Drosophila melanogaster: one gene and its partner. Changing the gene in region 1 together with any one later gene gives a genetic interaction. Each region holds a gene or a part of one and is shown in the gene's direction. Other genes may lie near its edges.

Region 1 (6,664 bases):
TACTACACATATATACAATATTTTCATTACCAAAAGAGGTAAACAAAATTTTAAATTCCATTTTCAACGGCAATTAAATTCGGGGTCGATTAAACGGTTTACCCCCTGTCAGAGGCCACTCAAAAATTTGGTTATTGTTTCTGATCTTTTTTCAAGCCGATTATAAATAATTAAAAGTATAAAAAAAAAAAAAAAACGGTCGCCCGAGGGAAGGGGTTGCAAGTAGTCACTACGGGCAAAGAGTACTCGACCCTAATGGGGGTTTGATATCGACCATAAACAAAACGCCCATTAGTTGTCATGTTGGATGGAAAGTGTGCCGCTGACGCGTGCGACCTTCAAGGATATTCGCACACTCGCCAAGCTGCAGGAGAAATGAGAAATGAGGAATGACTTTGTTTCAAAGGATATTTGCATACATAATTCGAGTGCGGCTGCGCCGAACCCTTGCCCAAATGAAAACATTTAAAATGTTTTGATTTCATTTATGTTAATTTCCAGCCATAAATCACAACCGACCGTGTGCTTCCTGTCGCATCCTGCAACAATATTTGTCCTTGCTGTTTGATTAGCCCTTAGCCCGAACCCTCACTCGCATGCAAATGAGAACTCTGTGGAGTCGCTGGCTTTGCTGCTCATTTGGTGTTATCCTTGGGTGCCGAGGGGAGGAATCGGAGATCGCAAAGGTATTATGCAAATTAACTGATGCTGATCCCATTGTTGCCGGTGTAATTCAATATTCGCGTGAATAAGTGCGCGAATATAGGATATCTAATCTGAGGTTTCGCAAATTCACATTTGCAATTCCAGAGACTAATTTCGAATGCAAATGCTATACGGTGGCAATTTGTTAATGCAGATTTTCGCAAACTAATGAAACTCAAATAGAGGTCTCAATTTATGGTTAGATGCCATATATGGTTATATTCAAAATATAATTATCCTATGTAGTATTACATTTATTTATTTAAAATCAGTTTAAAATTTGCAAAATTTGTAAAATACATTATTGTAGCTTTGTGGATAATGGTTCTTCTGCCAATTGTTATCCATTTGATAAGCCCGCTGATTGGAAAAGGTCAGGTCACTTATGCAGCCATCTACCAGCATTTGACTGACGGACTTTTGCAGTTGACATAAACCGACGAACTCAAGTGTGACTTTTTTGACTCTTCACACATCATAGACGGATCAGCGGAGAAATCAAGACCGCAGCTGCAGCTTCGGGGAAAAACGATTAACTATTTACTTTATAGTACACGCCACATGAAACGCCTGCGTCAAAGGCCACAAAGGCGTGTTGCCACAATAAAGCGCCTGGCGAAATCTCATCCGAACCTATTTAGCAGTGGCCACTTGAAAGGACAATGGCATCGCATCAAATGAGGCGCGCTTAATGTGGCTTCAATGAGTCCTGGACTCGAACTCGGAGATCCGAGGAAGCGACCTGAAAAATGCGAGTGACATGCGTGTCCCGCAAATTGTGCGGCCTGTTAATGGTTCGACCTCGAGTTGTGGGGTGGGTCAGCGTGACAGATTCCCAAAAACAATGTCGTTGAAATATTGTATTGTAAACCGGGTCGAGTTATTGTAAAACTCTGGTATTATATACGATTTATAATTTTGTGTTCTCTTAAAAAAATGAAAGATAACAATAAAAAGGTGATCTACAGAAATCGCTTAAACTAAAAATTACTTGCAGTCTAAAACAAGTACGAAATTATGTTTTATGCGTAAAACATAATAGAATGCCCATATATATATACATTTCTTCATTTTTCTTTTTTGTACTTTTCTTTTATACTTTAAAATTAAAAGTTGCTACAATAGTAACACTAGTTATGATCTCCTGCGCCACCTAGTTAAAAAAAAAACGACACTAGCGACACCTGGTGGATGAGTTTGTACTGTGTGCGGTATTTAGGCTAGTGCTAAAATTTAGAAAATACTTATGGTAGTATATTTTATTGGTACGAACGCGGTCACACTGGGGATGTGCAACAAGTAGAAATTGCCGCATAGTTTTTTATAGCGAATCGCGAACACATAACTAACGGTGCATGATCAAAGTTCGTTAAAAATTAAAACAAATAGTTATCGTAAGCAAAAAGTGACTATCTTATAAGATCGAACTGAGAGCAATGTCGGCAACGAGGTTTTTGAGTGCCGTTGGCCAAATTTCGCGACAGCAATTGCTGCAGAATAAGTGCACCAGAGGTGGGTTAATTAGAAGTTCTGCTATGAAAAGGGAAAGTGCAAATTGCAGGCCATAATTCTTCTACATTGGAATTTGGCCCCTTGGAAATGGGCAGTACTCTAGCGGTATCTCTGTCTCTCTCCCGTTCCCGTGTTAGCTGAATCTCCCCCGATGCCGCATAACTGGACTTTGAACTTTGTACTCTCCCTTGACGTATAGCTTCTGTCTCTCGCTTTCTGATTTCCGATTTCGAGTGCCGTGAGATAATGTGCACTAATCGCAAACAACAATCTCTTAACCCCACGCAGCCCTGCCCATTTCGGCCCAGCTTCTCCAGAGGCGCCGCCTAATGTCCACGAATCCCGCACCGGTTGCCAACAAGCATCTCCACACCAAGGTGGTCAATGGAGTGCTTGTGATCAAGATCGACTCACCCAATGCCAAGGTGAATTCCCTGGGCTCCGAAGTGAGCGATGAGTTCGAGCGAGTGATTAAGGACCTGGAGACGAATCCTGCCGTCAATTCCGCCGTGCTGATCTCGGGCAAACCGGGCTGCTTTGTGGCCGGAGCCGACATCGGGATGCTGGAAGCATGCCAGACGGCGGAGGAGGCCACGCTGATCTCCCACGGCGCCCAGGTGATGTTCGATCGCATGGAGCGCAGCAAGAAGCCCATTGTGGCCGCCATCAGCGGAGTCTGTCTGGGTGGTGGTCTGGAACTCGCCCTTGCCTGCCATTACCGCATTGCCACCAAGGACAGCAAGACCAAACTGGGTCTGCCCGAGGTCATGCTGGGTCTCCTGCCCGGCGGCGGTGGCACCGTCCGCCTGCCCAAGCTTACATCCGTGCCCACGGCTCTGGATATGGAGCTGACAGGCAAACAGGTGCGCGCCGATCGCGCCAAACGACTGGGCATCGTGGATCTGTTGGTGGATCCCCTAGGTCCTGGACTCCAGCCTGCTGAGCAAAACACTATCGAGTACCTGGAGAAGACCGCCGTGCAGGTCGCCAACGATCTGGCTAGTGGTAAACTTCGCGTAAGAAATACTAGTTAATCCCTTAAAGTCTTCATCATTAATTTGTTTTCCACCGTATCCACACAGGTAAATCGCGAGAAAAGCGGTCTCGTCAGCAAGATCCAGTCCTTCGTCATGGACACCGACTTTGTGAAGAACAAGATTTTCGACACTGCCAGGAAACAGGTGCTCAAGGCCTCGAACGGTCTCTATCCCGCTCCTCTGAAGGTTCGATATTGAACAAGCAATTCTCATATTTGTAAGTAACCTATAACTTCAAACAGATTCTCGATGTGATCCGTGCTGGCGTGGATAAGGGAACCGATGCCGGTTACGAGGCGGAGCGCAAGGGCTTCGGCGAGCTATCGGCCACGCCCGAGTCGAAGGGTTTGATTGCCCTGTTCCGTGGACAAACGGAGTGCAAGAAGAACCGATTTGGCAAGCCAGAGCGTCCGGTTAAGACTGTGGGTGTGCTGGGAGCTGGTCTGATGGGCGCCGGTATTGTACAGGTCTCCGTCGATAAGGGATATCAGGTGGTGATGAAGGATGCCACCGAAGCCGGCCTGGCTCGTGGTATTGGACAAGTGCAGAAGGGTTTGGAGACGGCTGTGAAGCGCAAGCGAATCTCTGCACTGGAGCGCGATCAGACTCTTGCCAGTCTGCGGCCCACTCTTGATTACAGCGACTTCAAGAACGCAGACATCATCATCGAAGCTGTTTTCGAGGACATCAAGGTTAAGCATCGAGTGATCAAGGAGCTGGAAGCAGTGGTTCCAGAGCACTGCGTCATTGCCACCAACACCAGCGCCATTCCCATCACCAAGATTGCTGCTGGAAGCTCGCGTCCCGAGAAGGTTGTTGGCATGCACTACTTCTCGCCCGTGGACAAGATGCAGCTGCTGGAAATCATCACTCACCCAGGAACCTCCAAGGACACCATCGCACAGGCCGTGGCCGTCGGTCTCAAGCAAGGCAAGGTCGTTATCACTGTTGGTGACGGACCTGGCTTCTATACCACCCGCATCCTCTCCACCATGCTGTCGGAAGCCATCAGGTAGGTTTGCATTTTAAGATGACTAGTGAAATTGTTTATTATACTCCCATATTTTATGTCAGACTGCTGCAGGAAGGCGTGGACCCCAAGGATCTGGACCAATACACGAAGAAGTTTGGCTTCCCCGTGGGTGCTGCGACCCTTGCGGATGAGGTTGGCATTGACGTGGGTTCCCACATTGCCGTCGACTTGGCAAAGGCATTCGGCGAACGTTTCAGCGGTGGAAACTTGGAAGTAATGAATGATCTGGTCCTGGCTGGTTTCCTCGGACGCAAGTCCGGCAAGGGTATCTTCCTGTACGATGGCCAGAAGAGGGGCACTCGTCCAGTGAACAACGATGCTCTCGAAATCGTGAAACAAAAGTACGCTTTAGTCTCAAAGGGAGCCAATGCCCCCGAGGATCTGACGCTGCGTATGGTATCCCGCTTCATCAACGAAGCCGTGCTCTGTCTGGAGGAGAAGATTCTGGACAGTCCGCTGGAGGGCGATGTCGGAGCCGTGTTCGGCCTGGGCTTCCCGCCATTCTCCGGTGGTCCCTTCCGCTGGGTCGATCAGTATGGAGCCGGCAAACTGGTCAGCAAGATGCAATCCTATGCTGAGCTGTACGGAGCTCCCTTCAAGCCCGCTCAGACCCTGCTCGACATGGCTAAGGACCCGTCGAAGAAGTTCTACCCCAAGACTGGCTCCTCGAAGTTGTAGATCCGATCCAATCCGATCCCAGCCTCCGTAGAGCCGCTAACGAAATTTAGCTTTTAGTGCGAAGATAAGTCGTGTCCTTGTGCATTTCTCTCAGAAAGGAAACCTATTGTGGTCCATCGCTGCCTAAAAAATGGGGCAAGGCCCAATAAAAAGCCCTCTGTTGAAGTTGTCGACAATTAAATTAAAGTTTACCGTGTAATTTTCCATACTTTCATTTGTTTATTATTACACACAGCAGTTTGATATCGATCTATCTCTTTATCCCTCTTTGTTTACTCAAACGGAAATTCATTTGTACACAGATTCTATAGTTTAGGTTTCAATAGCAGCGTATATACAGTGTCCTTAAACTAACATATTTTCGAAGCAGCCATTTTCTAAAATCTTGAAATCTATTTTCACAATTCCTTAACTGCTACGTCAGAACTAAATGGCTTATAAGGAGACCTCATTACTTCTTGTTCGTTGAATGTGTTCGATTTCGGAATAGCTTTAAATGTATATATTAGTTGTTCATATATATATGTATATATTTGGTCATGCAAGTTCTTGCAGCTCTTTGTAAATGGACCATTCATAATGGTTGGTCAAAATCGAAACAATTCGCGGACTTGAAAGAATTGAAGGCCTTTGAAAACATACCCATCTTATTGAGTAGACACAACACATTAACAGTGAGCGGACTGAAGTAGCTCAGATTCGAATTAGTACCCATTCCAGCTTCAGATCCCCCTTAAGCTTCTAACTAAACTTATCCTATCCCTAGTTAAGGATTAGTGACTTTCCGATACACTTTCTATTCCTTTATTGTTTCCTCCAATCGCGTCCAGAGCTGCGCCTTTGATGCTTAACAGATCCCCCATTGCTGCTACCGCCACTTCCGTTGACTACGCCAGATACGCCTCCTCCGTTGCTGTGATCCTGGGCGGGATATCGGGTTACAACGTCGTCAATTAGCTCCAGAATGCCAATCTTGAACTTGCGACGTTGCTGTGGAGTGAGAGTCGCCAGATCTGGGAGAATGCTGCGGAAGAACTCCATGTCCGCCACTTCCGACGAACTCAGTCCGCCGTAAATACTTCCTGCATTCGTCATCGTGCTGGTGGCCTCGCATTCCGTCTTGATTCTTTTCGTGCTCCCCGGTTCGTAGGATGCTGGGTGATGATCCATGGACAATGTCAAAGGATGTGGATGCGAGTGCGGATGGTAGTGCAGAGGCGGTGGTGTGCCATGTCCACCATCGCTGTAGATGAGTTGCGAGCCCGTCTCGGCCAGCTGCACATCTGGAATGAAGTTTTTCATGCTATCCGCACTAGCGGTATCGCTTCTGGCCGGTGAATTGCCTCCGCCTCCTTGAAGGGCAGAACTGCGAGTGGGCGTGGACGAAGTACGATTCATACCCAGGGTGTTGGTAACCGCGGGATCAAAGGCGTCGATGGTCTCCTCATCGTCCTTCTCCGATATCGAGTACTTCATCTCCAAGACCTCCATACTCTCACCATTATGGACGTCGTTGTTATTATTATTATTATTGATGCTAGTGTTGGCGCAGTACTTGTGCTCCTCGGTCGCATGGAGTGCTGGATGCAGGAGAAATGGTTGATGCTGCAAATGCTGCTGGGACATCTGGTACAGAGTGGCCAGACTGTTGTTCCCCTCCAAAGAGTTACGGCTGGACTTCAGGAAGGGCAGCAGGAAC
Region 2 (8,240 bases), on another chromosome or scaffold:
TCGTTGATTGGTGTCCTCCTGTGGATCACCTTTTATATGGAGTGCAAGCGAATGCAAAAACGATGGCGCTTGGACTACCTACCCTCTTTGCTGAGCACTTTCCTGATCAGTTTTGGAGCAGCCTGCATCCAAAGTTCGTCCTTGATTCCACGATCCGCTGGAGGCAGACTAATTTACTTCGCCCTGTTCCTGATCAGCTTTATTATGTACAACTACTACACTTCCGTAGTCGTTTCATCTCTACTAAGCTCGCCCGTCAAGTCCAAGATAAAAACGATGCGGCAGCTGGCGGAGAGTTCCCTAACCGTGGGCTTGGAGCCACTTCCCTTCACCAAGAGCTACCTAAATGTTGGTTTCATTCCATTCCTAACCATTCTTAACTGCAAAGAGCTTTTTTAATTTCAGTACTCAAGACTACCGGAAATACACTTGTTCATAAAACGCAAAATCGAATCGCAGACCCAGAATCCTGAACTCTGGTTGCCCGCTGAGCAGGGTGTTTTAAGGGTCAGGGATAATCCTGGCTATGTCTACGTGTTCGAAACCTCTTCCGGATATGCATATGTGGAGCGGTACTTTACGGCTCAAGAGATTTGCGATTTGAACGAAGTTCTATTTCGACCCGAGCAGCTATTCTACACGCACTTACATCGCAACTCCACGTACAAGGAGCTCTTCAGACTTCGGTAAGCCCTTATGCTACTCTTCCAAAAGCAAGTATAACTAAATTTTATGCTATTCAAAAACATCTTAAATGTATTAAAATCGTATGTATTATTTTAGATTCCTTAGGATCCTGGAAACTGGTGTCTACCGGAAGCAGCGCAGCTACTGGGTGCACATGAAGCTGCACTGCGTGGCCCAGAACTTCGTCATCACCGTGGGAATGGAGTACGTGGCTCCTCTGCTCCTCATGCTGATCTGCGCCGACATCCTGGTCGTGGTAATCCTGCTGGTGGAACTGGCCTGGAAGCGCTTTTTCACGCGTCATCTCACCTTTCACCCGTAGTGCTTTAAAATCGCTTTAAGCTGCTGTAACAACTATATTCTATTTGCACCCAGGAGAAAATAAAAACACTTTGCGTTAACTTTTCGCATCGCAAAATTATGCAGGGCGACGCTTTCCTCACTTCCTGTTTTCGCGCCGGAAAATTGCAGCACGGCTCGTTAAACGGAGGGATGGATAAAGGGGTTTGCAAAGGACGTGGTGGCCATGTTTCCATGCGATTTTCGTATTTGCATTAAAAACTTTTCGTGTTTGGCGGTTACTTTTTATACTCCATTTTCCCTTTTGGCAATGATTTTATTCATTCTCTTGGAGCCATTTTATTTGCATTTTCGTGCACGGCCACATTCGAATTGAAACTTTGTTCCCCAATGCCACGTGCGAATGTTAGATAACTGATTGTGAGCCTAATACGGCCTATTAGAAACAGTTAACAGTTGTGTTTTTCGCATTTCCCCGAATTTCACCGGAATCAGTAGTTTCCCTACCGCAGACATCGCATGTTGCCCCGAGATGATTTATGGTATTTTAATGATGGCGCATCGCCAGAGGCGACAAATATGGGAAGGGACGTGTCAAAGCTTTATCGAAATTGATTGTACAATAAATAAGAGTGAGTTGAGTTCGCACAAATATTATTAAATTGGGTGTAGGAGCAAATAAATGGTATTATATGGCTGCTAATCAAATACGCAGTAAATTATATATTTTTTCAAGATTTTACATTTGCCTAAGTCAAGCAAATAGTATTAAGAACTTCGTTCTTAAATGACTCCCAGTCGACCATTAAAATGCAACTGACACAACTGCTTGCCAAACAGCACTCACTGGCATTCCGGAATTCCCAAAGTATTACTATAACAAATTGCCTTAACAATTTGTCAACTCAATCTGGCTGTCAACAGGGCATCGCTTTGGCCATAGTTTATGCCATGAAAGGACTACTTTCCCTTCGCAGGGAGGACAACTTTGGAGTGACTCGAAATTGACAAGCAATTGTGAATTATTTATTATTTACAACATCGAACACGGGTGTCCCTTTTTATCCCTAGCAGCCTTAACCACTTTATTTTGCAATTTGTCAACAACATGTTCTCTTTTTTAAATGCAATGTATAGCCCTGTGGCAAGTAAAAAGTGTTCCATGCTTTGCGGCTGCGGTGTGAAATTGGTTTTGGCGGTTTCCGTACGTGCTAAATGAGCGCGAAACGGATTTAATTTAAACGGAGCTATTGTGGATGGGAAAACGATACCCGAGAAATTTATTATGACCAAACTCTTGGCCGGTACGATTATTAGACTTAAGTGTACGGGAAAAGATAAAAAGGGGGAAGCGGGCTTATGGCCATCACCTCATCAGTTTGATTACCCTTTCTGTTCCCCAGAGCCTGTCATATACGAATTGCCATTGCCAGTGATATCTTAAGATTTATATGGCCCAATGCTGCGAACGTCTTATCTGTAATTTAATCTGCTGGCCACTTAACGATAATGATAATGTCGATTGCAACTGGTCCGGCTGTAATCTAGGCCCGTATTCGACGAGTCCTCAGTAGATTTTCATTGCTCGAGCGGATTGAGTGGCAGCCGGAAATAATTCGAAAGTGTACGTACGGCTGGTGTTTGGTATTCACTCGGGGGAGTAATGTTTATTGCATTTTACGCCGGATTTATGGCCGTAGAAAGTATCTCAGGGTTCCGTTTCAAATGAAATTGTTATAAAATTAGCCAGCATTTCCAGTTGAACGGGTAAATGTGATTTGCATAGCCGAACCGTTTGTCATCGAGTTAAATGACCTCCGTTTGGTTTACTGTGTAACTTTAAAAAAAAAAAAACAAGTGAATTTATCGATACTACTTTTTAAAATCTTTCTACTAGAAAACAGGTGTTTTTGAGCTTAGGAGCACTTTTCGGATTACGCATACGCCACGTGCGCCCGTTGAAAAACAATAAACTTAGAGGGAACGACCATTAGAGCTTACTTGATATTGGGCAGCACAAATTAAAGCTAACAGCGCTATCCGCAATTAAACTGCCTAACTTAAAGTTAAGCGTAATTAAAATAGCTATGACTTATTCAATAACAGGTGCTAATTACGAAAGCTAACACAAACACGAAGTTTGAAATACCCTCCAAAATACAGTTGCTAACTTGATCGTTTTCAATACATTAATCAAGAGCTAGCACATGCGTTCAAAAGTATTGGAAAATCTTTAAGAACCCTTCGTAGTGACACAATATCTTCATAATCTAATCTATACCAGTTCGACTATCGGATTGCTTGGGATCTTTGAATGCCAAAGACCGCTAGCCGATAAGCATTTCCCACCATAAAGAATCACAAGGTTCGCAGATTTTCCCCCATCGAGAAATTCGAACATCTTATCGCTATCTTCGCACTCTTGAGAAGAAGGGGTATTCTAAACCCAATGCGAATGCACTTGCCAACTCGAAAAACGTGACGTTCGCTGACCGACCTCAACTCCCCCGCTTTTGCCGCTCGAATCAAATCGAATCAAATCGAATTGAATTGAATTAAATGATACTATATATGTAATCTGTAATGTGTGCTACCTGCTAGCGATCTACGTACGATCAACCTGCTGATCGGCACTTTGGCACTTGCTGCATCTTTTAATTGTTTTAGTTTTTATGCTGCCGCTGGCAACTCGCGTGATACCTCATACTTGGGCTCCCAGCCGCTTGGCTCCATTGTAGTCGCCGCTTGTTATTGGTTCTCGTTCCGTTGGGAGGGTTCGCACAGGTTCAGTCACTCACCGATCGCCTCGAAGCGCGAATCGTCGTCGCCGTCGTATCCAACAGTTCTCGGAACCTTAGAACTACCAAGCCGAAAAATAGTGGCAAGATGTACGGTTGTACTTTATAGTGAACAAGAGCAGTTGAAGAACCCATTAGTGCTATGAAAAGTTATAAAGTGCAATAGAAAGTTAACTCTATGTAAACATTTTTACATTTGTTGTAAATTCAACCTTTTACATATTATATTACATAAAATGCGAAATTAAATATCAAAGGCTTAAAATTTCTTATGGAAAAAAAATTATTTTATCTATTAATTTACTGATTAAAAAGTTATATTTGAAAACGAAAATCCCTTTAAGCACTCTATGCTTCAGAATTTTTTTTTCAAGATATATGCAAGATCTAGCATTCTCAATTTACCAGTGATATTTCGAAATAAATTTTGAGTATCGGGTATCATATTTTTTGATAGCAAGCAAAAGTAACTGGATAGGAAAGTGCACTGCGAATTGGGTCAACAACTTCATAACTGCGCAAATGGATCAAGTGAATCTCTTGAATGAGTCAGTGGCCAACGAAGTGCAGGACGGCTAAAAAGCATTTGCCTGGTCTCTGAATTAATTAAATTAGTTAATTTGTTATAATTATTTTACAGTTAGCGTGCCTTTTCTTTGTTGGCTAACAGGGCTCGTGCTAACTGTTGATTACATTATTTGAATTGGTTTGGCTTGTTGCAAGGTTAACTTAAATGATCTGGATAATTAAAAGCTGCCAGTCAAGGGCGCTAATGAGAATTGGGAATATATGCATTGAACGGTCTAGATTATATTATCCCATCTGTTGTCCCCATTTCCTCTTCGATCTATTATCAGTCACAAGTTCTGTCGGATGTAAACAAATCAATTCATCTGCACTTTGCACCACCGAAAACATTGCCAAAAAACTGTGATATATATACGTACATCTATATATCCGGTAAAATCGCACATATGTAGTTTATTTCCCGCTACAGCTGAATGTTATCTAAAATCTTATTTATTTAAAACCTCCAAACATTGCAAATTAGCTAGTTATATAGCATAGTTAAATGCCTGAGAAATGTGTAAAGTAATAGTAATAGGCTACTTTATTACAAATTCAAATAGTAAAATAGGAAATACGTGTGCACCTCCCGTGAAAATATCCCGCAAGGCACTTAGCTATATAAATATGAGTCTTTTAACCCGTCAAACCCTGAGTCTGAACTAAACAGCTGTCTTTTCCTACCTTCAACACAATTTGTATATTTTTAAGCATTTATTGCACGTACTTTCCATATATTTTAGCGACTTCCCCTAGTGACCATATTATGTCAAGTTCAAGACTGCTTACGCACATGCTCGGCTTGGGAAATTAAACAATTTATTTAAATTCGACTCGAGCAGTAGTATTTGCTCAGCTTAGAAGAGTGAATAGCAGTTTCTTTTAAGAGTATAAATAGCTCATAGCTGGGAAAGAGAATTCAATTAATAGTTGGCCCATTCAAAGTAAATTAAGTAAGGTGATCATGAACTAAGGGTACGGCGCTGATTTGTTTCTTGGAACAAATAAATGTTGAACTAAAGCTACTAAAAGAAACTGTTATTATAAAAACGTGATATTGATTTCGTTGCCGTTTTGAAGTCTTAAAACCACCTTCGTTCACGCTTGACCAATTAAACAATTTGCGTAAATGCTAAAGCTTTTAAAAAGAGCAACATTAATTTTTTTAGAGACAAATAAGTTGTTGATTTCTTAGGAGAAACTAGATGAGTTTAGATTAGAGATAGTAAATGGTAAAAAAAGTTATGAAGTGAATCAAATAAATTTGTTGGATTTGCACTAAAAATATTAAACAAAAGGGTTTTTTAATTTTTGTTTAGCCGGCTCAATATGACGGCAACCAAGCAGCAAGAGGCTGAGGCCGAACATGATCCCCAAGTGGTGGTCACCCCTGGAGACGCCTCTCGCAGCTCTCGCCAAGATCGGGGTCTATGGCGGGATCTTACTTCCTACTGGATCCTCGGTCTGTGCAACAACTACGGATACGTGGTGATGCTGAGTGCTGCGCACGATATTATCAAGCAGTTTAATCCGGTAATTACAATAGGATTATAGCACTTTTAATACATTTATTAATTGTTCGCCTGCATAATTTTTTCTTTTTAGAATGATGAATCGGAAGAAAGCTCGTCGGGAAGAAACTGTCACTTGGTTTCAACAGGTGCCATCTTGCTGGCAGACGTGCTGCCCTCATTATTTGTCAAGATTCTAATGCCATTCTTTCCATTTTGGGTGAAGTGAGTACTATCTACAATATTAAATAAATTTGATTTGATGCATTAAACTTGATATGATACTAACACAAAATCGCATTTTATTTATTAGTTTCCGTATAGCTCTTGCCGTGGCCTTTTCTGCAGCTGGTTTCCTCCTGGTTGGATTCGCCAATGCCGAATGGATGGCTCTTTTGGGTGTCATCATCACTTCGGCTAGCAGCGGAATAGGAGAAACCACTTTCTTGGCCTATTCTTCGCGATACAATAAGTGAGTTGTCTGGTAAAAGTACTAAACAAAATATCATTAATTCCATATGTTTTTCTTAGGAATGTGATCTCCACTTGGTCGTCCGGAACTGGTGGCGCTGGAGTTATCGGATCCTTGAGCTATGCTAGCTTGAGATCCTTAGACTTCAGTCCCAGAGATACTATGCTGATTATGCTGATCTTCCCTGCGATCGAGGCCTTTGCATTCTGGTTGCTGCTTCGTCGTCCACAAGTTGATATATTGCCGGTTACCACGGTTGAGTCCACGGAAGTCCTGATCAGCGATGAGAAGCCATTAGTTGGGTTCAAGGAAAAGCTCTTCTATATCAAGCACCTCTTCAAATATATGTTGCCCCTTTGCCTGGTTTACTTCTTCGAATACTTCATCAATCAAGGATTGGTAATTTAGCTTTCTTTAATTCATACAAAAAAACATTCATTGTCATCCATTTTTCAGTTCGAACTGGTTTACTTTGAAGATATATTCCTGGACAAGGACTCGCAGTACCGCTGGCTAAATGTGGACTATCAGATCGGAGTCTTTATCTCGCGCTCCTCTGTCAATCTCTTCCAGCTGGACAAGATCTGGCTGATGTCCATCTTCCAGTTCGTCAACGTGGTATACTTCCTCACCGAGGTTATCTGGTGGTACACGCCTAGCATCTGGATCGTGTTCGCCATCGTCCTGTGGGAGGGACTTCTGGGCGGCGGTGCTTACGTGAACACCTTCTATCGGATGTCCAAGGAGATTTCGCCGGAGCGCCAGCAGTTCGCCATGGCCATGGTGGTACAGTCGGACTCCTATGGCATTGCTCTGGCCGGATTTCTGGCCATTCCCGTGCACAACGCCATCTGTGGTCTTCCGGCCGCGGCCAGAAGCCTTGTTTGGTGATACGGATCGAGGATCAGAATCAGGATCAGATTATGCCTTTACTGTGTGCGTGTTTAGCCAAATAAGCGTGTGTGTCTGTGCATGTCCCTATAGTATTAATCACTGGATCACTGGACATCCGGTAACCAGATAGATCGTTGTATAGTTAGTATGCTGCTGTTAGACTACTCTATAAGTTTAGTTTAATAAAAAAAAAAAATAAACACTACACTGTACATTCGATTTCATTTAATTTCAACGTACCCAGATGCAAGCACTTTTCCGAAAATGTTTTCCTTGGCAAAGTTTGGCTTTTTCGGCACAAAGTGCTCACGGCTAACCACTTTGATAAGCACACTGATCCCAGACAGAATGCGCCCCACTTGCTCTGAGTTTATTCAACTGTCTCCAACAAAAAGCCTCTTAAATTGTACGTATTTACACTACCTACACATTATAATTACTTAGATGGAGCTGCTCGGTTATTAAATAAACTTGTTGCTTGTGGCTTCTAATTCGGTTTGATCGGTTTCAAATCGAACGCCAAACGATCGGTTTGGCAGTGAGATGCCGGCTGAGACAGATTGGGAGATCGAGACCCAAACCGATTTGGGGCGAGATGTTACGTGGACCGCTCGCCGTTTCAGTTGATCGGTAGCTGCCGTGCAAGGCAGTCGAATATTACGCGATTGTCTAATACGTAAGTTGAGTAACCAAGATGCGGGGCTTATCAGCGTTTCTGCTTTTGCTCTGCCTCCAACGGGTGAAGTCGGACGAATCTGCTGCAGCACGGCGCCCCAACATAATCATCATTATGGCCGACGACATGGTGGGACTAGTTTCGCCGTCATAAATCAACCCATTTCTAAAGCAAACACTCTCTCAGGGCTTCGATGATGTGAGCTTTCGAGGCGGACGGGAGTTTCTAACTCCCAATATCGACGCCCTGGCCTATCACGGTCGTCTACTGGATCGGCTCTACGCTCCGGCAATGTGTACTCCATCTCGGGGAGCATTGCTCAGCGGCCGGTATCC

The links.
Region 2: of Mtpalpha (region 1) and Cln3, changing one enhances a phenotype caused by changing the other (phenotypic enhancement), as found in Drosophila melanogaster (one study listed by BioGRID).

What each region holds. Positions count from the first base shown.
Region 1 is NT_033779.5:9,572,071-9,578,734, reverse strand, and holds Mtpalpha (mitochondrial trifunctional protein alpha subunit), read left to right. Parts: upstream 1-1,965; 5' UTR 1,966-2,141; coding exon 2,142-2,217; intron 2,218-2,354; exon of another isoform or gene 2,355-2,505; coding exon 2,506-3,233; intron 3,234-3,299; coding exon 3,300-3,440; intron 3,441-3,496; coding exon 3,497-4,266; intron 4,267-4,328; coding exon 4,329-4,965; 3' UTR 4,966-5,162; downstream 5,163-6,664. Other genes in the region: brwl (brickwall), read right to left, coding at 5,770-6,664.
Region 2 is NT_037436.4:17,808,431-17,816,670, reverse strand, and holds Cln3 (Cln3), read left to right. Parts: upstream 1-2,551; 5' UTR 2,552-2,611; intron 2,612-3,779; exon of another isoform or gene 3,780-3,875; intron 3,876-5,671; 5' UTR 5,672-5,681; coding exon 5,682-5,885; intron 5,886-5,957; coding exon 5,958-6,088; intron 6,089-6,176; coding exon 6,177-6,335; intron 6,336-6,394; coding exon 6,395-6,734; intron 6,735-6,791; coding exon 6,792-7,226; 3' UTR 7,227-7,440; downstream 7,441-8,240. Other genes in the region: Ir75a (ionotropic receptor 75a), read left to right, coding at 1-348, 406-686, 784-1,009; CG32191 (uncharacterized protein), read left to right, coding at 7,924-8,034, 8,092-8,240.